Cricetulus griseus: one gene and its partners. The protein of the gene in region 2 interacts with the protein of the main gene of each other region in a pairwise test. Links are inferred from orthologs where the notes say so. Each region holds a gene or a part of one and is shown on either strand. Other genes may lie near its edges. The genes, in order: Ptpn3, Wdr6 and G2e3.

Region 1 (7,565 bases), on a different chromosome or scaffold from region 2:
TTCTCTGTTCCTAAAGGCAAGAGTGAGACCCGGCCACCCTTCACAGATTTATGCTGCTCATTAGCTTCCCTCTGTGCACTCACTGAGTTGAAACACACGAAGCTTCCTGTGTTCATTCTGACCCACAGAATGGCAACCTTCTATGGTTCAACCCAGTGATTTTGTTCTCCGTGGAGACCATCCTATGCACAAGGCTTGACTGCTTATTCTTTTTCCCGAGCTCCATCAGTACCACTTACCCGTCCTTCTCTGTTCTGGAACCCCTCTTGAGCTCACATTAACAGCACAAATAATTCATAAGCATTAGCAAGTCAGCGGGGAGCCCTGCCACTCAATCACTGTCCAGATTTCCTGAGTCTTGATGCGAGTGACTGATGGGCTGTGGTGCTTTTTCCAGGAAACTCTTCCCACTAATGCCCTCAACCAATTGCTGCTATGCAGTGTTGGACACTGGGCATTACGCACAAATGGTGTCTTCCTGGGGCTGCTGCTAACTTTGCTTGCTGTTCACACTGTTCTCCTCCATCAATCTGGTCTCTAACTAATGGTGAACATTTAGCCTGCTGTGTGTCTCCTCTCATTAAATCACCTCCCTGGTTTGTTGTTTGGGGCGGGGGTGGGGGGTTGGGGGGGTTGGATTTCTTGAGCCAACACCAACAAGACAAAGAGCAATTTGGCGTTTAATTGTAAAAGGGCTGCTGGGGGCGGGGTGCTTTGTTCCAGCAAACAGCAGTAGGACAGTTAACTCTACATCGCATTACAGTCTTGAGTCTTGAGAGGGTCTGTGGACAATGTGTCTCCACTAAGTCATGACCCTGTCCCCACTCCCTAGCCCCAAATGACTATCCAGGGACATCATCTATCTACATAAATCCCTTTGGGCCTGGCCTCATTCTCTGGGGCTCAGAACAGTCCTATTCACTACTGGGCGTTATTTGCTTTAGAGTTAGCCGTGAAGATTACATGTCCATCCAAAAGTCCCATTCACAAAAGAAGGGACATGTACACTATAAAATCACTTGTCATTGAGGCTAATAACATCACGCCAATCCAGCCACATCGGATTAAAAGGCGGGGCTTGACTATTTTGGCCCCAAGAACAAAACAGTAACAGTAGACCAGAATGTTAAAAGTAATCTGCAGCCTAAAAAATACATCAAACTAGGGGGGGAAAGGCACACAAAGGGCAGAATAAAATGACAGTCTCCTTTACTCATCAATCAATGGCTAGCTCCTTTATATAAGGCAACAGACCATAAAACCTGACACCCCGCTATGAGGTCAATGGGCTTGCCTTCAAATCCTCCCCAGTGTGTGTCACCAACTGTGAACCCATCCCTGTCCCCAGCTGTGAACCCACCCCTGTAATTGTTTTCAGTGAAACTGAGATAAAAACAAACCAAACCACCTACTGTAAAGATTGAAGAATTCATGGAAAACATTGGCCACATTTGAACTTAATCATGGATGTGTGTGTTATTTACTTGGGGGAAGGTTTTTGAGACAGGGTCTCTCTATAGAGCACTGGCTATACTGGAACTTGCTAGCCAAGCTGGCCTAGAACTCACAGAGATCTGCCTGCCTCTGCTTCCAGTGCTGGGATTAAAGATATGTGTCACCATGTCCAGGTCTTTAAGTGTTTACTATCACACACACAACATTAAGACATTAATTAACTTTAAAAACCAAACAAAACAAAACATAGAAGCCCTGGCTGTCCTGGAACTTGCTTTGTAGATCAGGCTGGCCTCAAACTCACAGAGACCTGATGGCCTCTGCCTCCTGAGTGCTGGGATTAAAGGTCTGCAACACCACTCCTGGCTTCAAAATTCTATTATTTGCATTCTTAGTGGTGTGTCCATGCCACCTTTTCACAATTTGTTGCTTTCAATATTTTCATTTGTTGTTTCCTGTTGTTGCATAGTGATAGAAATAGTTTAAGTTATAATTTTATTTGTTTATTGTGTGTATGTATGCATGTGCATGCACATGGAGATCAGAGCATAACTTGCTTGCAGGAGTCAGTCTTCCACCAGGTGGGGCTTGGGGATTGACTGATCTCAGGTCAGTTTGTCTGCAAGTGCCCTTACCCACTGAACCATATCAAGGACCCGAGAGATCTAGTTGTAATTATTTCAGTGAATGGATCTGAACACAATCAATCATTACCCTCCCTTTGAGCATCTGCTTTGTTCCAGTTGGGGAGGAGGATTCTTTTATTTCTTTTATTATGTTCCTGGTTCTGTTATGGTGATTTGAAATACGAATTTAAAAAAAAATCTTGCTTGTTGGTGGTAGCACATGCCTTTAATTCCAGCACCTGGGAGATAGAGACAGGTGGAAGATCGAGGCCAGCCTGGTCTACAGAGAGAGTTCCAGGACAGCCAAGGATACACAGAGAAACCCTGTCTCGAAAAACAAAACAAAAAATTAATAATAATCTTTAGGGATTTAAGGTTCACAGCTATTTTCTAGCTCGAATCTGAGACCATTGCTTAAGCAATGATGAGCAGAGAAAAGGTAACGGTTTTACTCCAGCAACTTTAAACTGGACAGCGCTAAGAATTCTCCAGGCCTCATCTTAGCAGTCCGTGTTACGAGAGGATGGCATAATTGAGATAGGCACTTCCGAAACGAATATTGGGGTAAGGCTTCTAGTGGTAGAGATTCGTGCTTATGGTGTGCAAAGCCCTGGATTCAAGCCTCAGCAAGGGGTAAATATTTAAAGTGGACTGAATAAATTCACGTCCTTTTTTATTTTATTTTATTTTTCCAATCCCCACACGCCCCCGAATCCAAGCGTAGGCATTTGTATTATTTAGGGCACAGAGAGCGCAAGGCTCTGGTAGCAGATCACACAGCAGCTGGTAGAGGACAGAGTGTGCAGTCAGCTGACTCTGAATGGTCTTCCCACCATGCTTGGGGGAGGAAGGTTACCCAGCACTCCCTGCCCGGAGGCAGAAGGCTGAGCCTGAGATGACCAGGTGGGACTCGGTGTGCAGCCTCACCAACCCCTCCAGGGGGTTTTTCCTTCCGGACGCTGGGCGCCCCAGGCTCCGAGCATGCCCAGTGCTCTCCCTGCCGGTCCGAATGGTGCTGCCACGGCGCTGTGGCTCCAGGTTTTGCGTACGATCCTAGGCGGGGCCAAGGCAGTGCAGCCCCCGGGACTCCCGGCTCTGTCGGAATTCCCCGGACGCGACGCTCCCGCGGCTCCCGCAGCGGTGCACTACCTTGGGACCGGGACCGGGATCTAAACCAGTAAACCAGGCACGGTCGAGGGTCTCATGGTGCCTAGGGGACAAAAGGTTCTCGGGACATCCGACTATAGGGGTCCTACCCACCTCTACATCCTCCGGTTAGCAATCTTCATTCAACAAAAACGTTTTTAGTTTGTGCCAAGAGTTGTTTAGAGGTTAGGTCTCTTGAGAGGCGGAGCTACCGAACTGACACTGAAGGGAGGTACTCCTTACGGGGGACCCAAGCCAAGAGAGACAGCCAGTAACCGACCCCGTTTGTCCCTGTGCCCTCTTTCCCGTGCCGTAGGCACAACACCTGCGCTCCTTGTTTTGGCACTGACTTTTCCGTCCTAGGAAAGCTTCCTCGTTTAGCTGCGTGACTGAATGGTATTTGTCACCTGATCCGGCTGTTCCACCAACTCTCATCAGGCCACCCCCCTAGCCTTCTTGCCCAGCTCTCTCCCCCACCATCCCCACCCCGTTCTTAAGAATTTATCACCTCATACACTGCGTTGTTTGCGGACCTGTTGTTTGTTGCGAGAGACTCCCTTCCAAACTCCCAGCAAGGGGCAGAAATTTTGTCTATTTATTAAATGTGAAGAACGTAAGTAATTGTTGAATGGATACGTGATACTTGCTTGGAAGGCGATAACGGACGTGGAGAGTGGCCAAGAGGTCAGGGCTAGTTTAGAAAGGTAGCCAGAAAGGCCTCTCCTACGGAAGATACCTGTACGGTGAGAGGGCGCCGGGCACCAGCTAAGTTGGGGAAAAGACGTCCTACCCCGAGGGAAAGGCAGCGCAAACGTCCCGAGGCGAGTCAAGTTCAGAGGGTGTGATGAAGAGGAAGGTGCACTCAGAGCGCAGGAAGGCAGGTGTGGGAGGAGGCGGAAGAGGCAGGCAGGAACGCCCTCCAGCTAGGGCCCCTGCTGGCCTTGGGACAGGCTAACCTGTTTGGCGTCCTAGGACCAGCAAAGGACTGTGCTGGAGTGTCAGCGAGATCCCCAACTCAGCCACGGAGCCCGGTGCAAGCTCGCTGTCATTTCAAAGATTCATTGAGCGCCAAGTCCTTGCCATTCCTAGGCATGCAATCCCGGAAAGTCAGGCACACAGTAGGTGTTCAATAAATGCTTAAGGTATGAACGGCAGCGAACGTGAGCCGGGGTCTCGGAGGTCCGCGGGATGTCGGCAGGTGGCCCGCGAAGGGCATGGCAGCGTGCCCCAAGCCTGCCCCGGGCCCGCCCCTGTCCCGGGTCCCCCGCCCCGCGCGCGGGCCCGTCGCGGCCACAGCCGGGCCGGCGGGAGCCGCCCGCGGGCTGCACTGGGCATGCTCAGACGGCGGCCAGGTCGCGGCGCGAGCGAGCTTCCGCGCCGCCCGTCCGCGCGACCTACCTGGGCGCCCCGCGCCCCCGGATGCTGCAGGTATGGGCGGCTGGGACCTCCGCGGGGTGGGCCGGGGCGCTGGCTGCGGAGATCAGGGACTCGCGGGGCGCCACCCCACCCCCACCCGGCCCGGGGCGCGGCGGACATGCGGGAGGACTAGCGGGAGGGCTGGCAGCCCCGGGTCCCCCGCGCCACGTCGGGCATCTTGGGGGGGCGCTCAGGCCCGGATCACCTGGCGGGGCTGGGGCGGGGCGCGAGCGGGGACGGCGCAGGGCTGGGCGTTCAGGACACGGCGGCGCGGGCGTGGGCGTGCGCTCCAGTCTGGTTGAGCCCTGGGCCCGGCGCCGCGATATAGTCAGCCTCGCCGAGGGGGCGCACGGCCGCGGGGATCCATCCGTCCGCGGCCCCCGAGGCTCGCCCCCCAAATTGGGGGGGCGCAGTTCGCCTCCCAGTTGCAAAGATGGCATTTCCTGGGCCTGGCACGAACTCCAGAGCTAATCCAATCCGCCCCGTTCCGCGGGCGACCGGGTGGCTTCTCTGTTAACTTGCGGTGACATTGCTGCGTTGTGCGGAGAGAGAACCGGAAACCCTCGCCCCCGGTTGCTGCCACCCAAACTTATTACGAACTTGAGGGTTGCCTTTAAAAAATTCATGGGAAGTTAAGACAACTTGGCACCTGGTGTTCCATGAAGGTGCAGGGAGCTTGTGGTTAGGAAACGCGAGACCTGGGTTCAAGTTGGGCTCTTTACCTTGGCCAGTTGGTGACCTTGGACGAGTAGTTTAACCTCCCTGATCCTCCATTTCCTCCCTTGCATGCAGGCAGTAATAATGCCCACCTCGCCTGGTTGGTGGTGGATTAAGTAGGATAAATGATGTGGAGGTGTTTGGCTCTGTGCCCGGCACAAAGCAAGCGAGCAGTTGGCGTGATGTGATTTTAATTCAGTTAGAGACCCTCGTGGCTCCCATTTCGTCAGGAAATTAGAATTAGGCAAGCATTTTCGGAGCCTGTGTTTGTGCCCCGGAGAAGGTCTGCTGAGGCTTTGGAAAAGCAACTGAACAGAACGGTGGGGAGCAGAGAGCCTCTTGTTTAAAGGCAGTCTGGAGTTAAGAAACTCCAGAAGTTGACACTTGGTCCCCACTTGCAGAAAGAACTGTTTCTGCAAGATGACCCGCCTTGCAAATGAGTTGGAAAGCCTGTCTGGGAAGATGCCGATGCTGCAGAGCTCCCATGCCTAACCTTAAGTACTTGGATCAAGGTTTGTCGGCATCTCACAGTGGGTTTGTGTCTTCTTTGCGGTGGGTGCCCCTTGTGCATTATAGGGTGCAAAGCAGCCTCCCTGGTATTTGCTCAATTGGTTCTTGCTGCAGCCCTTTCCATGTGCCAACCAGAAATGCCACCATGTATTGTCTGGGTTGACGTGTCTCCCCTTTCAGTAGAATTAGTTGTGATACGCTCTGCTTTTTGTCTAGCCTAGGCTATCTGAGAATTTCATCTGGGGCTTTTTATGATAATAACGAACCTTTGCAGTTAGTTACCTCGTAGAGTTGTGCAGTGTGTATGAACATCTCGTTTAGGTTTTACAGTTCTCCCTGAGAGGGTGGTGTCACTCCCATTTTATAGAGGAGGAAATTGAGGCTCTGAGCGGGCACCTGTAATTGTCCTGATTGTAACTGGGATGGAGGAACCCAAGGCTTCTGGTTCCAGGGACAGGGCTTTTTCTTCTGGATAAGACTGTCATGTGTGGCTAGACCTCACATAGATGTCTTTCCTGACGATTAAATCAAGATCTGGACTGTATTGGAAACTGGAAGCCTTCCTGAGATTGCCTAGTTGAAAATTAACAACAGTAAGCTATTATCTGACAGGGAGTAGGCCATTCTAGTTAAATATTCTAGTGTATGAGCACTCCCATAAATCCCCACATACAGTTAATGGAATACCAATCTGCCGAGAATTAGAATGGAATAAAAACGTGCCTAATACTCTATATTGATCTGGGTTGTCTCTGGTGATTTGTCTTCTCCTCCAAAGACTAGTGTATGCAAATTAGACATGAGTGGCAGACGGGAGGTCAGGTTGCTGAGGGCATTTGGAAGAGATGAGGTGAGCCTTTGAACAGATGTTTCTGTTTGGCAGCTGCAGGGCTATGGGTAGGGAAGCAAGGTGAATAGGCCAAGGGACCCCCCCAGCCTGGAATCTTGGTGCACTTCCCTGCAACTCAGGCCAGATCTTAGTGTGTGTGGCTCTTGGCTCCCAGCTTACCTACGAGCTAAATTCAAGATCCCAGCTTGAAGCCCTCATTTTACCTGACTGATCTCATAGCAAAGGTATGATAGCTTTTAATATGCTTGCTGAGGTCTCAACTCCATGCCAGAGAGACAAGGTCATAGGCAAATCTTATCCCAGGAAGAAGTTTGAGTTTTAGGTTGATATTCGGTCTCAGTCCTAGGGTAGTAGGTAATTGCTCTTAGTTTTTATTGGCTGGAAGTTTAATTATAGTGTTATGCCCCACTCCCTACCCCCACCAACACACATACATATGTGAGCTAGCAAAGACTGAGTGAGACCAGAGCAAGAGGACTCACTGTGGCCTTCTGAGCTACACATAGGTCCATGAATGCAAGGGGCACTTGTTTTCTAGAATGAGTATAAATAACCTCCCGGAATGACCAGAAGACATGGAATACTCTCTTTCCTTTCAAGGGACTGGCATGTTGGGAAGGGATTGGTGATTTGTGGTCCCCTCTCTGACCATAATCGCAGGGCTTACCTTCCTGCACCAGTCAGTCAGTTCCTGGAAAGCAAAGCCTGGCCCCATTTCTCTCCACAGGTTCTGCCAAGGCTGGAATCCTGATGGTATTCTACATACCTTAGCCTGGCTGGGCTGGTGGGCATGGGGGCTGGTCCTCTGCTACCTTCCCCTCATATTGTAGATAAGAAAGGACTGG
Region 2 (7,543 bases):
GCATTAAATTCCAGTGGTTGCCAGGCAGTGGTGGCACACGCCTTTAATCCCAGCACTTGGGAGGCAGAGGCAGGCGGATCTCTGTGAGTTTGAGACCAGCCTGGTCTACAGAGCAAGTTCCAGGACAGCCTCCAAAGCCACAGAGAAACCCTGTCCTGAAAAAAAAAAAATTCCAGTTGTTTGAACAGGAATTCAATCCATTGAAAACAGTTGACTACTGAAGGTGTGTTAGCCCTCGATGTGGGGCAAAGAACTGGTATTAGAAATAAATCAGATGTCTATTTTCTATTAGTTAAGAAAACAAGGAGTTAATTCTGCTCAGAGATGCATCCATCCTTGAACAGAGAGGCTTCCTAAACTGGGCTGGTGTTTCACCTGTGATGAGGCAGTCTGCAGCAGGCCTGGCCTTGACACTGAAACTGTCTCAAAAGCCCAGAAAGATGAGGCTAAGGTGGTTAACTGGTCAAGCCCTTGCCTAGCACACAAAAAGTGAAGATCACAGCACTGCATAAAACTAGGCATTGCTGTGCACATCTACACTCCCAGAATTTAGGAGGGGAGGCAGAAGTATCAGGAGTCTAAGATTGTTCTAGGCTCCAGAGTTCCAACACCAGGCTACATCAGACCCCATCTAACAAACAGCAGAAAGAAAACAAAAAATAAAGACAGCGGTTTTGAATGAACAACTTTGTTCCAGCGAGGAGAGTTGAGGCTCTTGACTTAATTCTCCCTATTAATTGGATATCTCTATGTCTGGCAGCCTGGGACATAGAGCTCATGCCACCACCACAGACCCGTGTGTGTGTGTGTGTGTGTGTGTGTGTGTGTGTGTGTGTGTCTTATGTGCCCAAGGCTCACCTTGCACTTGCTGTCTAGCCAAGGATAACCTTCCTGCTTCCACCTCCCGAATACTGGGGTTCCCAGCATACACTACATGGTGTTGATGTGGTGCTGGGGTTGAACTCAAGCCTTGCACACATTAGGCAAGCACACTACAATTAAACTACAGTCCTAGCTCAGCCTCCTGTTCTTAGAAGTCCCTGGGACTTCCAGGGGAGGTGGACAGGGATAAGCTTGTGGCTGGCCCAAGGTGCGTCCACCTTGGTCAGCTCCTGAATGCCTGCTGCCTACCAGGGTGCTGCGCCTCACACGCCTTTCTCCGGAGATCGTGGAGCTCAGTGAGCCACTGCAGGTTGTACGATATGGTGAGGGTGGTCACTACCATGCCCATGTGGACAGCGGACCTGTGTACCCAGAGACCGTCTGCTCCCATACGAAGCTGGTAGCCAATGAGTCTGCGCCCTTTGAGACCTCCTGTCGGCAAGTACCTCCCACCGGGGGGTTGGCTTCAATTCACAGACTGGGTGCACTGAGGATGCAGGAATAGCCTGCTAGGGGCCAAGAGTACACTGGGCCACCCTGGTCAGCCATGCCCCTGCTTTTCCCCCAAGCCTCTCCTTCACTATTTATGGAGTAGCAGGAAAGTGGTGGCTACCGGCCATTGTGTCTACTCAAATGAGAACAGACCCAGATACCCACAGGTACTGACACTTGCCCTCATAAACATGGATCTTGACCCCACTGGTGGGGATGTCAGGCTGACTTCTACAGCTGTGCCCCCCACCCCTGCACAAAGTTAGGGTTTCATGTGGCTGTTCTGGCTCAGTCCTGCCAGTTGCCAGCAGACTTTGCATGTTATTCCTGCTTCTACAAGCTTACCTTTTCCAACCAGGTCTTTGGTCAAGGTCACGTAACTTACCTAAGTACACCTGTCATCTCAGCCACACAAGAAGAGTGGCTCTGTGGGGGTAAAGGGCTAGAAATGTCTTGGCCCTCCTAACCTGACCCTGTGGCCCCTGAGTAACCCTGCCCACAAGTGGGAATATCCTCAGTTGGGGATCCGCTCAGCAGCCCCTCCCCTCCGCCTTACAGTTACATGACGGTGCTGTTTTATTTGAACAACGTCACCGGTGGGGGCGAGACTGTCTTCCCTGTAGCAGACAACAGGACCTATGATGAAATGGTAAGGGCCAATGGGCTATTACTTCTGTGGGTTGGCAGGGCCTTGGGCAAGTGCACACACACCCTTCCAGACCTGGGGTGAGGGCACATGTCTGTTTTCCCTCTAGCCAACTTTGGCTGCCTGACTGTACAGAGGCAGGCAGTCCACAAACATCAACTCCTTGTTGCCCACAGAGTCTAATTCAGGATGATGTTGATCTCCGAGACACTCGAAGGCACTGTGACAAGGGGAACCTTCGTGTCAAGCCCCAGCAAGGAACTGCAGTCTTTTGGTACAACTACCTGCCTGATGGGCAAGGTGAGGGCTTCTCTGAGGGAACTTATCTCTCCCTTCTGCCACCTGAGGGCTGTTTCTGTCTGCTCTCCAAATAGCCTTCTGCCATAACCAGTGATTTCATTAGGCCACAGCGCAGCCTCTTGGGGTATCTCCATCCATTGCCCTCACGCATCAGCCTTTCTGTACTCTGGGGCTAGGGAAATACTCTCAACAACCCAGGCCGGGAAGAGCTATGGAGTGGCTGGCTCAGCAACAAGGAAGCCGGGCAGAGGGCCAGTGTATTGGCCATGCCTTAGTGGGTGAGATGCCGAGTCCTTCCATGGGGATTAGGAGTTTCCACAGCTCAGGAGGGTCCAGCCTAGGGTTCCCTCCCACGTGTCCCTTTGTTCATGCCACCTTCGTCCCCTAGGTTGGGTGGGTGAAGTGGACGACTACTCCTTGCATGGCGGCTGCCTGGTCACCCGTGGCACCAAGTGGATCGCTAACAACTGGATCAATGTGGACCCCAGCCGGGCACGGCAAGCTTTGTTCCAGCAGGAGATGGCTCGTCTGGCGCGTGAAGGCGGCTCCGACCCGCAGCCCGAATGGGCCTTGGACAGGGCCTACAGTGATGCCCGCGTGGAGCTCTGACGCGAGGCCAAGATGCAAGTCACTGCCCATCGTCAAAGACCCTGCAGGTCCTCTGTTGTACTGCAGACTAAAGATCTGGCCGATCTTGCCCTGCCCCTTCCCGCCTGCAGCCGCGATGAGGGGCGCAGTTGTTCCTACGTTCACGTTATTTACTGGTGTACAGCGGCCTCCATGCTGCTCCATCAAATAAAACGACAGGGCTTCGAGCCGGGTGCAGGCCAGCTCCGCGCCGCCTGGGGGAGGGGAGGCCCGCCGCTCTCCCCGCCAGCTTCCCGGGGGGCGGGGGCGGGGCGGGGGGCGGGGCGGCTCCCTTGCTGGGCCAATCGCCAGCCGGATCGCGTGGGGCCGAGGGTCGTCATTGGACGTCCGCGGCCGGGCGCCGGGGCTCCGCTACCTGTAGCTAGGGGATCGGGAGCTCGGCGACGCGGCTCTCAGACGGCTGGTTCTCGCGAGAACGCCGCTCTCTTCTCGGCTGTGGCGGCTGCGGCAGCTTGACGAACGTCATGGACGCTGTCGGGGACTTCGTCTGGCCGCAGGCGACCTCGGAGCTCATACTCCTCCCGGTCACGGGTCTGGAGTGCGTTGGGGACCGGCTGCTGGCGGGTGAGGAGGCTTGGCCCGCTCTCGTCGTGCTGGCGGGCGAAGACGTAGCCGGTCCCCCGGGGCGGTGGCGTCGGGACAAAGGATGCCCCGGGACGGGGACGGGCAGCGGGCTGGGCCCTGGCCGTGGGATGAGGCCGGTTGGGAGGTGGCGGGAACGCGGGCCAGCCCGAGGGGGGCGGGGCTCGGGAGACAGGGCTGAGGCCGTCGTGGCAGCTCCTCCTCAGCTGCAGCCGGCGTGGGGAGGGCGTGGGGAGGGCGGGTGGGGTGCCGTCGCTCCCTACGGGGGGGGGGGGAGGGCATTGCACTCCTGAAGGAATCAGATGAGGTAGAGAACGACGGCCCCAGGGGGCGTGGCACGAGGTTGGCCTCTGGGGAGGGTGAGGCTCCGCCCCCAAAGATGAGGGGCCTGAAGGAGGGTATGGTCGCCAAAAATTGAGTCTGAGACTTCTCCGAGTAGAGCAGTATTGGGAGGGGCCGGGCTCAGGTCCCTCCTGCAACGGTTGGGGCTCTAGGCCAGCCGGGTCAGTAATCACATGACCCAGTGTCTGGTGGTAAAGAACCTAACTCGAAGCCACTAGCCTTGGTGATGGTGGCGGCGGGGGATTCATAAAGCTCCCTAGCACTGACTACTATGCCTCTGGTCAGCCATCGTCAGCCCAACAAGGTTGTGTCGAGGGTATAATGGAGAGTTGATAAGCGGAGGGTGGGGGGAGTGTGTGGGTGCAAATATTGGTTTGCTCCAGTGAGGTGGGGCCAGCAAACTCTTCTGGAAGTGAAATCTGTAGAAGCTGGAGAAAGAGAAGATATGGAGCATTAAGAGAGGAGTAATGTTGCGGCCTCTGGGTTTGGGCTGGGGTGGGCAGTGGCTGGGGATGTTTGCTGGGATGCGGATGAGATAGCGGGAAATGGCTGCAGCGTGGCCAAAAGGAAGCTGCCAGGCCAATTCTGGGAATGTCTGTTGATCTGGGTCTGTGGGCTCTAACACAAAAGGGGTGTAAGAGATTGCCCAGGAAGTGTGAGTTTGTATAGAGGGAGGCACTGGACAAGCCTCTGAGCGTAAGTTAGGAGTGTGGGTAACACAGTAGATGCTGTCTAGGTTTAACCCTCTCAGACCTTGGAGTTGCAGACAGCTGTGAGCTGCCATGTGGGTGCTGGGAATTGAACTCGAGGCCACCAGAAGAGCAGTGCTCTTAACTGCTGAGCCGTCTCTCTTGCTAACTGTACCTCATTCTACCTTCCAAGGGTTCTCTGCTGTCTGGTGCTGTTGAGGCCTTCTAAGCCTGAGTCTCACACAAGGGTTCACCGCTGTCTAGTGGTGAGGCCAGAGCTCCCCTGCCTGTGAGGTGTGGGCTGCTCCTGCCTCCACTCCTGCCAGTGCCTCTGAATATGCACAGGGTTATCGGTTGAGGAGGGAGGGTTGCTGGTTATAGGCTTAAGGTGTGGAAAGGTTGACACAGCCTTTTCCCTGAGGGAGGGAGAGTCATGTAGAGACAGATGAAGCTGAGAATTTGGGGAATAGAGCAGAGTTGGCTTTCCCATCTGAAATGTAACAATGATGGGAGAATTCCTAGTGAATATACGTAAAGGGTGATGGATAGCCAGGCACAATGGCACCGTGCTATAATCTCAGCAGCTGGGAGGCTGAGACAAGAGGATTTTGAATTCAAAGTCAACTTGGGCTGTGTGGGAGAACCTCACCACAAAAACAAGTACCTGAGAAACACATACATTTGAAGTAGAAGTCTCGCTGAAGCTGAGGTCAGGACGTCCTAGGTTTAGTAGGATTTTGTGTCCTTGATATATTAAGTTATATGTTAACAAGTGCTGTGCTCCCATCTTGTCATGGACCACAGCGTTAGGGGAGTGGCTCTGATGTGGCTTTCTACCTCTGTCTAGGTGAGGGGCCTGACTTACTGGTGTACAACTTGGACTTTGGTGGGCATCTCCAGATGGTGAAGCGAGTACAGAACCTGCTTGGCCACTTTCTTATCCATGGTTTCCGAGTGCGACCAGAGCCCAAAGGAGACCTTGACTCTGAGGCCATGATAGCTGTGTTTGGGAGTAAGGGACTCAGAATTGTCAAAATTAGCTGGGGTCAAAGCCATCTTCGAGAGCTCTGGCGCTCTGGCCTGTGGAACATGTCCGACTGGATCTGGGATGTACGTTGGCTTGAAGGCAACATAGCCTTGGCCTTGGGCCACAACTCAGTGGTGCTGTATGACCCTGTGATAGGGTGCATGCTACAGGACGTACCCTGCACAGACAGGTGCACCCTCTCCTCAGCCTGCCTGATTGGAGACACTTGGAAGGAACTGACCATAGTGGCAGGGGCCGTTTCCAACCAGCTCCTGGTCTGGTATCCAGCAACTGCTTTGACAGACAACAAACCTGTGGCACCTGACCGTCGGGTTAGTGGACACGTGGGTGTCATCTTCAGCATGTCATACCTGGAAAGCAAGGGCCTGCTGGCAACTGCTTCAGAAGACCGAAGTGTCCGTATCTGGAAGGTGGGCGACCTCCGGGTACCTGGGGGTCGGGTGCAGAACATTGGTCACTGCTTTGGACATAGTGCCCGTGTATGGCAGGTGAAGCTCTTAGAGAATTATCTCATTAGTGCAGGAGAGGACTGTGTCTGCTTGGTGTGGAGCCATGAAGGTGAGATCCTTCAAGCCTTTCGGGGCCACCAGGGCCGCGGTATCCGGGCCCTAGCTGCTCATGAGAGGCAAGCCTGGGTGATCACTGGGGGTGATGACTCAGGCATTCGGCTCTGGCACCTGGTAGGTCGTGGGTACCCAGGCTTGGGCATCTCAGCTCTGTGCTTCAAGTCTCCCAGCCGGCCAGGTGCCCTCAAGGCTGTGACTCTGGCTGGTTCTTGGAGAGTACTGGCAGTGACTGATACAGGGGCCCTGTACCTCTACGACCTTGAGGTCAAATGCTGGGAGCAGCTGCTGGAGGACAATCGCTTTCAGTCTTACTCCCTGCTGGAAGCAGCTCCTGGTCCTGAAGGCTTTGGACTCTGTGCCTTGGCCAATGGGGAGGGTCTTGTCAAGGTTGTCCCCATCAACACTCCCACTGCTGCTGTGGACCAGAACCTGTTCAGTGGGAAGGTACACAGCCTGAGTTGGGCCCTCCGTGGCTATGAGGAGCTTTTGTTGTTGGCATCAGGCCCTGGTGGGGTAGTAGCTTGCTTGGAGATCTCAGCTGCACCCACTGGCAAGGCCATCTTTGTCAAGGAACGTTGCCGGTACCTGCTTCCCCCAAGCAAGCAGAGATGGCACACATGTAGTGCCTTCCTGCCCCCAGGTGACTTCCTGGTCTGTGGAGACCGCCGTGGCTCTGTGCTGCTATTCCCTGCCAGACCAAGTCTGTTCAAAAATCCTGGGCTTAGAAACAAGGCTATTACTGAAGCTGAGGCCCCTGGAGCTGGTGATAGCAGTGGTGGGTCTGAGAATGTTCCAACAAGGTTAGTCCCAGTATCTACCCTTCATTCTCTGCATGGGAAACAGGGCGTAACCTCAATTACCTGTCACGGTGGCTATGTATACAGCACAGGGCGTGATGGCACCTACTACCAGCTCTTTGTACATGGTGGCCAGCTCCAGCCAGTCCTAAGGCAGAAGGCCTGTCGAGGCATGAACTGGGTAGCTGGGCTTCGCATGGTGCCTGATGGAAGCATGGTCATCTTGGGTTTCCATGCCAATGAATTTGTAGTGTGGAGCCCCCGGTCCCATGAGAAGCTTCATATGGTCAACTGTGGTGGAGGACACCGCTCCTGGGCCTTTTCTGATACTGAGGCAGCCATAGCCTTTGCCTACCTTAAGGATGGTGATGTCATGCTCTATCGGGCTCTAGGTGGCTGCACTCGGCCAAACGTGATTCTCCGAGAGGGTCTGCATGGCCGTGAAATCACCTGTGTAAAGCGTGTGGGCACTGTAACCCTAGGCCCTGAATTTGATATACCCTGCTTGGAGCCTCCTGACTACCTGGAGCCCGGCAGTGAGGGGCCTGGTC
Region 3 (7,023 bases), on a different chromosome or scaffold from region 2:
AAAAACAAAACAAAACAACATTTCTAAAGCCAGGCATGTCAGCACTAGTCTGTAACCTCAACATGGGCCATGGTGAAATGGTAGTGAAAGGGTTCTGAGATAGATGGGTTCTTGGAACTCCTTGGTAAAGTCAGTCTAGCTAAATAGGTGAGTCCTGGCGTCAGTAATTAACGCTGCCTCAAAAAAATTAAGTGAAAAGACTGACATCAGCCTCTGGTCTCCACATGTACACCTATGCACACGTAGATAGACACACATACAGATAATACTTTCACATTATTTTATAGTTGTGTGCCTGGTCACTAGAATTCTTTGTTTACTAGTTTTGCTACACAGCATTGTTTGTCATCTAAGGAAGTAGAACTTAAATGAATATCTGTTACTAGTTTTGGGGGACTGCTGCTCATTCTACAATGTATAGTGTCTTATATCCCTCTGGATGTCATCTGGTTTGTGATTATGTATTTGCTATATAACACTGTTAGAAAATTCAGTGTTTCTCTTTTGGGGGAAAAATCAACATTGAGTTAAAAACAAATAGTAATTTTATATAATAATAAACACCTAGTCAAGTAACTGAAGATTTTCATTGTTTGTCCTTATACCGTGGAGGACAAATCGATATTTAGGAAATGAAATTGTTTTACGTGTCTGTGCGGGTTAGCTTTTGGCTACTTAACTAGGTACTCCTGGGAAGAGAGAGCGTCAGTTGTGACTTTGCCTTCAACAGATTGGCCTATGCATATGTCTGTGGGGTGTGGACTACAAATGATGGAAGAGGGTCTAGCCTATTGTTAACAGGTGCTACCCCAAAGCAGGTGTGTCCTATGTAGTACAAGAAAAGTATCAGGTTCTGAACTGGATGGAAGCAGCTACTCAATGCTCCAGGCTCCTGCCCTGAATTTCTTCCCTCAGTAATAGACAGTGGCCTGGGGGTTGTTTTCATCCATGTTTTCTCATGGCAGCAGAAAGTAAACTAAAGTAGTATTACGGTCCGAGAAAGTAAAGTATTGACTGTTGAAAGGATTATGTGTTTTCGAGATGCTTTTTAAACAGGAGAAAAGGCTGTCCGTGTTTAGGGTGACTGCTTATAGTTCTGAGAGCCATTGGCATAGAAAATATTTTCAGGATACATCAAGGAAAAGGTAGCATATGTTCTATTAGTTATATAATTCACAACCCGGTGAGAGATGCATTACTAACAATAGATTTTCCATTTTCTGCTGTAGGTTCAAGCAATAAATGCAGGAGTGTATTTCTTTAGGTGTACACTATGCAATAATACCGATATCTTTCAGAAAGAGATGTTGAGAATGGGAATTCATATTCCTGAAAAGTGAGTAACATTTGGCTTTATAACCAAAAGCATTTAAATGTAGTATTTAGTAACATTAAAACTAATAATTTTTGTCTTAATAGTGATTGTGGCTAAGTAGCCATGTCACATGATCAAGTGCCTTCTCCCAGATGGCCAGCTCTTGAGAAACAGGCACTATGGTGTCAGTGTCTCATTAGCTGATGTGTCTCTTAGTAACTCAGATAAGTCCAATTCTGGTGATATGTATAGCATCTTTAAGTTGGTATCCATAGATAATCTAAGACAGACTCAATGGGTTTAAAATAGAAAAGAAGAATTTTAGTGATGCCATAAATAAGATGAGAAATCTCAAGCAGTGATTAATACTTGAAAGTAAAAATTGTACCCCAGTCCTTGGGAGGCTTAAGGTGTATAGGTCAACATGGATTGTGAAGTGAGTTCTAGGCTTGCTTGGGCTAGAGTCTTGGGTCAGGGAGAGGAAAAAGAAACACCAAAACAAACACACTTAGTAATCCCGGCATGTGATCCGGGTGGTGGTGGCACACACCTTTAATCCTGGCATTTAGGAGGCAGAGGCAGGTGGATCTTTGTAAGTTTGAGGCCAGCCTGGTCTACAGAGTGAGTTCCCAGACAAGTCTGTTAAACAGAGAAACTCTGCCTCTAATGGGGCGGGATCCCAGAACTTGAGAACCTGGGAAGAGGTGGGACTTGAATTTGAAGTAGCCTAGGATATAACAACAAAAACCGGAAATGAAATACTAGAATAATAGAGGTTTTAGAAAATTCTGTTCAACTTTTCACTTAGTGTTTGAAAGTTAACTGTGAAACTGACTGTAAGGTAAAGTAACATAATAGATTTCTATGTTGAAAAGAACAACCTAAAAAGGTACTTTCATCCTTGTTTCTAAATTATTAATTCCGTCAGACCAACACACTTTTTGCATCTTACTTCATTATAGGGATGCATCTTGGGAATTAGAAGAAAATGCCTATCAAGAGCTGTTGCAGAGCCATGACCGCTGCGATGTTCGAAGATGTCATTGCAAAAAAGGGCGAGACTATAATGAACCCAATAGGTATTTCTGCAAGTTGCATTGTGTTTAGTTCTTCCTTACTAAGATGTTAGCTAAGACTGTAGGTTGTCTGGGTGTGAAATGCAGTTTTCCTCTTAGGGTGTTTTGAAGTTTTAACTTGAGATGAAGTATGTTTATTAATTGTGTCAATATATAGTCAATATAGGAAGTGTTTTTGGTAAACTTTCATGAGGTTATTCCAAGCTGAAAGCTCTTGTAACAAAGGGCTGAAGACTGGATGGGACTTTAGAGCTTTAGAGCTAGAGGTGCAAGACCTAGGGACCTATGGCTTTGTTTTACTCAGAAGCATTGCCGGGAGGTGATACAGGTGACTCCTCATTGTGTCCTCATGGTGGTCTCTGTGATTTTCTGTGGCCTAATCACTCTCTTAAAAATATGTTATTGTCCTGCTAATGTAGTCTCCCATAACTCAGGAGGGTTATGGTACAGGCAACTGTTGTAATGAAGGATGCTTGCTTTGTAACTGTATTCCTTCCATTCTAATAAGACAAAGGCAACTTAGTGTAGTATGGAGCATGGGTCTAAAGCCCAAGCAAAGTGAATTGGAAACCTCACCCTAAGACATACAGGAATATACGGTTAGGGAAATAGCCCTCTGTGAGTGGTTCATTCCACTTTCAAAATTGTAAAAGCTGAACATTTTATACAAAGAATGAGAAGGGGGCCTGGTATGTAGTAAACACATATTTTAGCTGCTATCTTCGTCATTGTGGGTGAGTAGAACTATTTTGAGGAGGCAGAGTCAGGCACCTATGCTCCACCCATTCACACTAATGTGGAAGATGCTTATGTATACAGGTGTTGGAAGAATAGCCATTCAACTTGCCACCCATGTTTCCACATAGAATATATCTGTTTCTGTACAGAAGACTGTGTACTCATCCCGACAGAAAGTGAGAGAAGCTTCAGTCCAACATCTTTCTAGTATATACTGTGTGCTGGCCAGTTTATGTCAACTTGACACAAGCTAATCCTCTAAAAGGAGGGAAACTCAATTGGAAAAATGCCTCCAGAAGATCCATCTGTACAGCATTTTCTTAATTAGTTGATCGGGGAGGATCACCCCAGTTTGGTGGTGCCATGGACCGGTAGTTCTGGGCTCTATAAGAAAGTAGGATGAGCAAGCCATGCAGGGCAACCCAATAGGTAGCACCATTCCATGGCCTCTGCATCAGCTCCTGCCTCAAGGTTCCTGCCCTGGGTTCTCTCAGTGATGATCCTATAAACACTTTCCTCCTCAAGTTACTTTTGGTCTTGGTGTTTTTATCACAGCAATCAAAACCCTAATAATACACCTATATGGAAATGTATATGGGTATTACAGGCACAATGGGTGACAAGAAGAAAGGAGCAGAGATGAGAAATAATATAATATGAGTCAGAAACAAACTATATTGGTTGCATTGCATGGCATCTGAAATATGTCAGAGCATTGTTTTTTATTTGTTTTGTTTTGGAAATCCTGCATACCTTCATATTGCAAACTTGTGTATCAGATAGTGAACAGTAATCTCTCTCTGAATGTAATCTATCTCCAAATGTAAAGGAAAATATTTTTCTCCTTATAAACTTTTCTGATATTTATATTCTTTGTATATATGTATATCAGTATTCATTTAGGTTTTTAAGTTCAGGATGTTTAGAGGAAGAGATTATAAACATTAAATGAAGAGAGAAAATACTTTAGAATCAGATGTGCTATGGCATTCCAATAATCCAAGCATTTGGGATGATAAAGTAGGAAGGCCACTGGTCACGGCCAGTCTGGAGTGCCTAGCCAGACCCTGCCTCAATCAGTACTTTCGTGGGGCATAGTCTTTTCCTTCCTTTGGTAGGTTGGTGTGGTGTATGACAGAGGGCTGGATTTAGGTGCTAATCTGAATGACATCCAGCATGCACAGAACATGCAAATATACTATTTTTATGTCCTCAGCAAATGGGAAGTAAAGCGCTGTCAGTGTTGTGGTTCTAGTGGAACACACTTAGCCTGTTCTACACTACAGTCACTGGAACAAAACTGGGAGTGTTTGGACTGTAGAAGAATCACCTACAATTCAGGTAATAGTTTGTAAGTTTGAACAAAGTTATTTTTGTTCAAGTGTATGTTCTTGAAAATGTTTATGTAAGTTTCTGTTAAGCTAACCTCTGGATTTAAATATGTAGATTTCCGAAAGGCCCCCAAACACCCGTTAGCCAACTCTACTAATGTGACAGTTACTGATTGCCTGTTGGAAGAGTCATCACCTAAGCTCCCCAGACAGTCAGCTGGAGCCCAGCATAAAGAATTGCTGAGGTATGTGTATTGATTTTAGAAAAGTCACTTTGAAAATTATTACTTAAGATGCCAGACACACTTAGTTTATTAGCTGATCATACAGTTGTATGATTTTCAAACTGTAGGACCCAACATGGGATGCATGAAGTCAAGGAAGGGTGGGAGGACATAGAATACCTTGGCAAGGTCACATACTGGTAGCGACATAATGGATTTGAGACCAGCCTGGGCTATATGAAAGTCTGTATTATAAAGGAAGGGAGGGAGATAAGCAAGGTATCAGGCTATATTAATCAATTTTAGTATTTTTCTCCTTTTATACTGAGCCATAATATAAGATATTTTAAAGATTTTAAGCATCCTGGAAAATATCTTTACAACATTATTCAATTACAGACTAAAGCAAGAAGTTCAATTATCAAGCACACCGTGTCCCTCTATAAAAGAGTCCTGTTTAACACAAAGGTTGGTTTCTTGATTTTATAACCATTGGTTACTTTATATATAGTTAATGTCAGGGGCCTTAAGCAAATAGTTTCTCTTCGCTAATTCAACTGGAAACTATAGTTATTTTTATGTTAGAATGATTCATTGTTTGAACATAATTTTAATATTTGGGTTTCCAAAGACATTGCACTAGAGAAACTTGACTGTTTCTGTTTCAGCATCTAGTTATATGCTTGAAGAGCAGCATTGACATTCCCAAGGAGCAAGGAATCAACTGCTATAATAAAATGTGGCTGCAATGTTTGGGGTAGGACAATGTTATAGAAAGATGATCCATGTACATTGACTACATTAGTTCTGCCTGCAGATGGAAAATCTGGGGCAGAAAGAAGTTAATCTAACTCATGTGCTTCATGGATGCTAATACACAGAGATTTTGGTAGTGCAGACGTGCCTGGGGGCTCAAGGATTTGCATTTGTAACTAGTTTACAGATGATGCTGTTGGCATAGATGATTAGATTGAAAGATATTTAAGGGAACATGAGTTCGGTTGATAATATCTGCATTATCAGTTGTAGCTACACTATTGAGAATACATTATTGATACAATCGAGTTATTTTAGCTATTGGCCAGTAAGTAATATTTTGAATTTCATACCCTTAAATTTGAGTCCACTGAATTAGATATTCAAATAAACTTCAATGTTAAGTGATTATAAGTTGGGGTTAGATTGTGGGAATTTAAAAGTAGATAATCTGATAAATGTTTTGGTTCCAATATCATCAAAAAAAAAAAGCTGTCTTTTTAAACTTAAAAACAGAACAAACAAAAAGAACTACAACTTTAATGTTGTATAATTGTTGTTCCACAGAATTTGCTTTACAATAATGATCTTTATTTGAATTTGTGTTTTCTAGGCAAGGCAGCAAATTTAGGAGAGACATTTCAACAATATTGCTAGAGTTAGGATTCCAAATTAAAAAGAAGGCTAAGAGATTACATATCAACAAAGCCAATGTGTGGAGGAGTACCTTAGAGCAGTTCCAGAGTCAGAAGTTTAACCCTTCATACACCATTGAAGTAATGTATGTTAGTGAAAATGATAACTTGGGAAGAGAGCATCCTGGATCAAAGCAGGAATTTCTGAGCCACTTAATGCAATATCTTGAGACTTCATCTCTGTTTGAAGGGTCTTTGTCAAAGAACTTGACTCTAAATTCTCAAGGTAACTTTTTATTATTATTTGTACTGAAAATAGCATGTATAGCAAAAAAACAAGATAGATGCTTGTAATTGATTCTTTAGTTATATCTGGAATAAATAATTTGCATTTGTTATGAATGAGAATTTGCTATTTTTGAAGGAAGGATTCAGAATATCTGGGGTTGGAGAAATGGCTTAGTGGTTAAGAATGCTTGTTGTGTTTGCAGAGGACCGGATTTCCAGGACCCATGTCCAGCAGCCCTTAAGGTAGCTTCAGGGTATCAGCACCTATGCCGCCCTCCGGCTCCTATACTTTTTGCAGACACATAGGTGACATGTAATTAAAAAGTATTTCATAATTAAATATCTTAATTTAAACTTCATTTTCTTGAATATAATTTGACTAGCATGACCAGATGAAATGGATAATTATTGGACTCTTATTGTTCATTCTTTTTCTTTTTTTTCGAGGGGCATTTGTTGTTGGTTTTTTTTTTTTTTTTGGTTTGGTTTGGTTTGGTTTTTCTTAAGAGTTTTCCTAAAATAAGGAAATTAAAAAGGAGTAAGATTTTTTTGCATTTCAGTCTCTTCCTTTATCATTGCCTGATGTTTGAATATTTTTTGGTATTTATAATATAAACAGTTTAGTTCTACCCCTTCCCCACAATTAGTTATGTTAACTTA

What was found.
Region 1: the proteins of Wdr6 (region 2) and Ptpn3 interact in binary tests that used the Homo sapiens proteins (3 or more experiments, as listed by UniProt). The two-hybrid records come from large-scale screens. The link is inferred for Cricetulus griseus from reciprocal best matches to the Homo sapiens genes WDR6 and PTPN3.
Region 3: the proteins of Wdr6 (region 2) and G2e3 interact in a two-hybrid assay, tested with the Homo sapiens proteins (2 studies listed by BioGRID and IntAct). The two-hybrid records come from large-scale screens. The link is inferred for Cricetulus griseus from reciprocal best matches to the Homo sapiens genes WDR6 and G2E3.

The regions. Positions count from the first base shown.
Region 1 is NC_048595.1:86,573,524-86,581,088, forward strand, and holds the start of Ptpn3 (tyrosine-protein phosphatase non-receptor type 3), read left to right. Parts: upstream 1-3,227; 5' UTR 3,228-3,840; intron 3,841-4,534; exon of another isoform or gene 4,535-4,655; intron 4,656-7,565.
Region 2 is NC_048597.1:216,751,616-216,759,158, reverse strand, and holds the start of Wdr6 (WD repeat-containing protein 6), read left to right. Parts: upstream 1-3,322; 5' UTR 3,323-3,432; coding exon 3,433-3,532; intron 3,533-5,428; coding exon 5,429-7,543. Other genes in the region: P4htm (transmembrane prolyl 4-hydroxylase), read left to right, coding at 1,135-1,320, 1,933-2,023, 2,197-2,320, 2,709-2,929. UniProt on the Homo sapiens protein: Together with methyltransferase FTSJ1, methylates the 2'-O-ribose of nucleotides at position 34 of the tRNA anticodon loop of substrate tRNAs. Required for the correct positioning of the substrate tRNA for methylation.
Region 3 is NC_048598.1:150,936,775-150,943,797, reverse strand, and holds part of G2e3 (G2/M phase-specific E3 ubiquitin-protein ligase), read left to right. Parts: intron 1-1,229; coding exon 1,230-1,336; intron 1,337-2,277; coding exon 2,278-2,394; intron 2,395-4,345; coding exon 4,346-4,470; intron 4,471-4,575; coding exon 4,576-4,705; intron 4,706-5,083; coding exon 5,084-5,152; intron 5,153-6,053; coding exon 6,054-6,361; intron 6,362-7,023. UniProt on the Homo sapiens protein: E3 ubiquitin-protein ligase which accepts ubiquitin from an E2 ubiquitin-conjugating enzyme in the form of a thioester and then directly transfers the ubiquitin to targeted substrates. Essential in early embryonic development to prevent apoptotic death.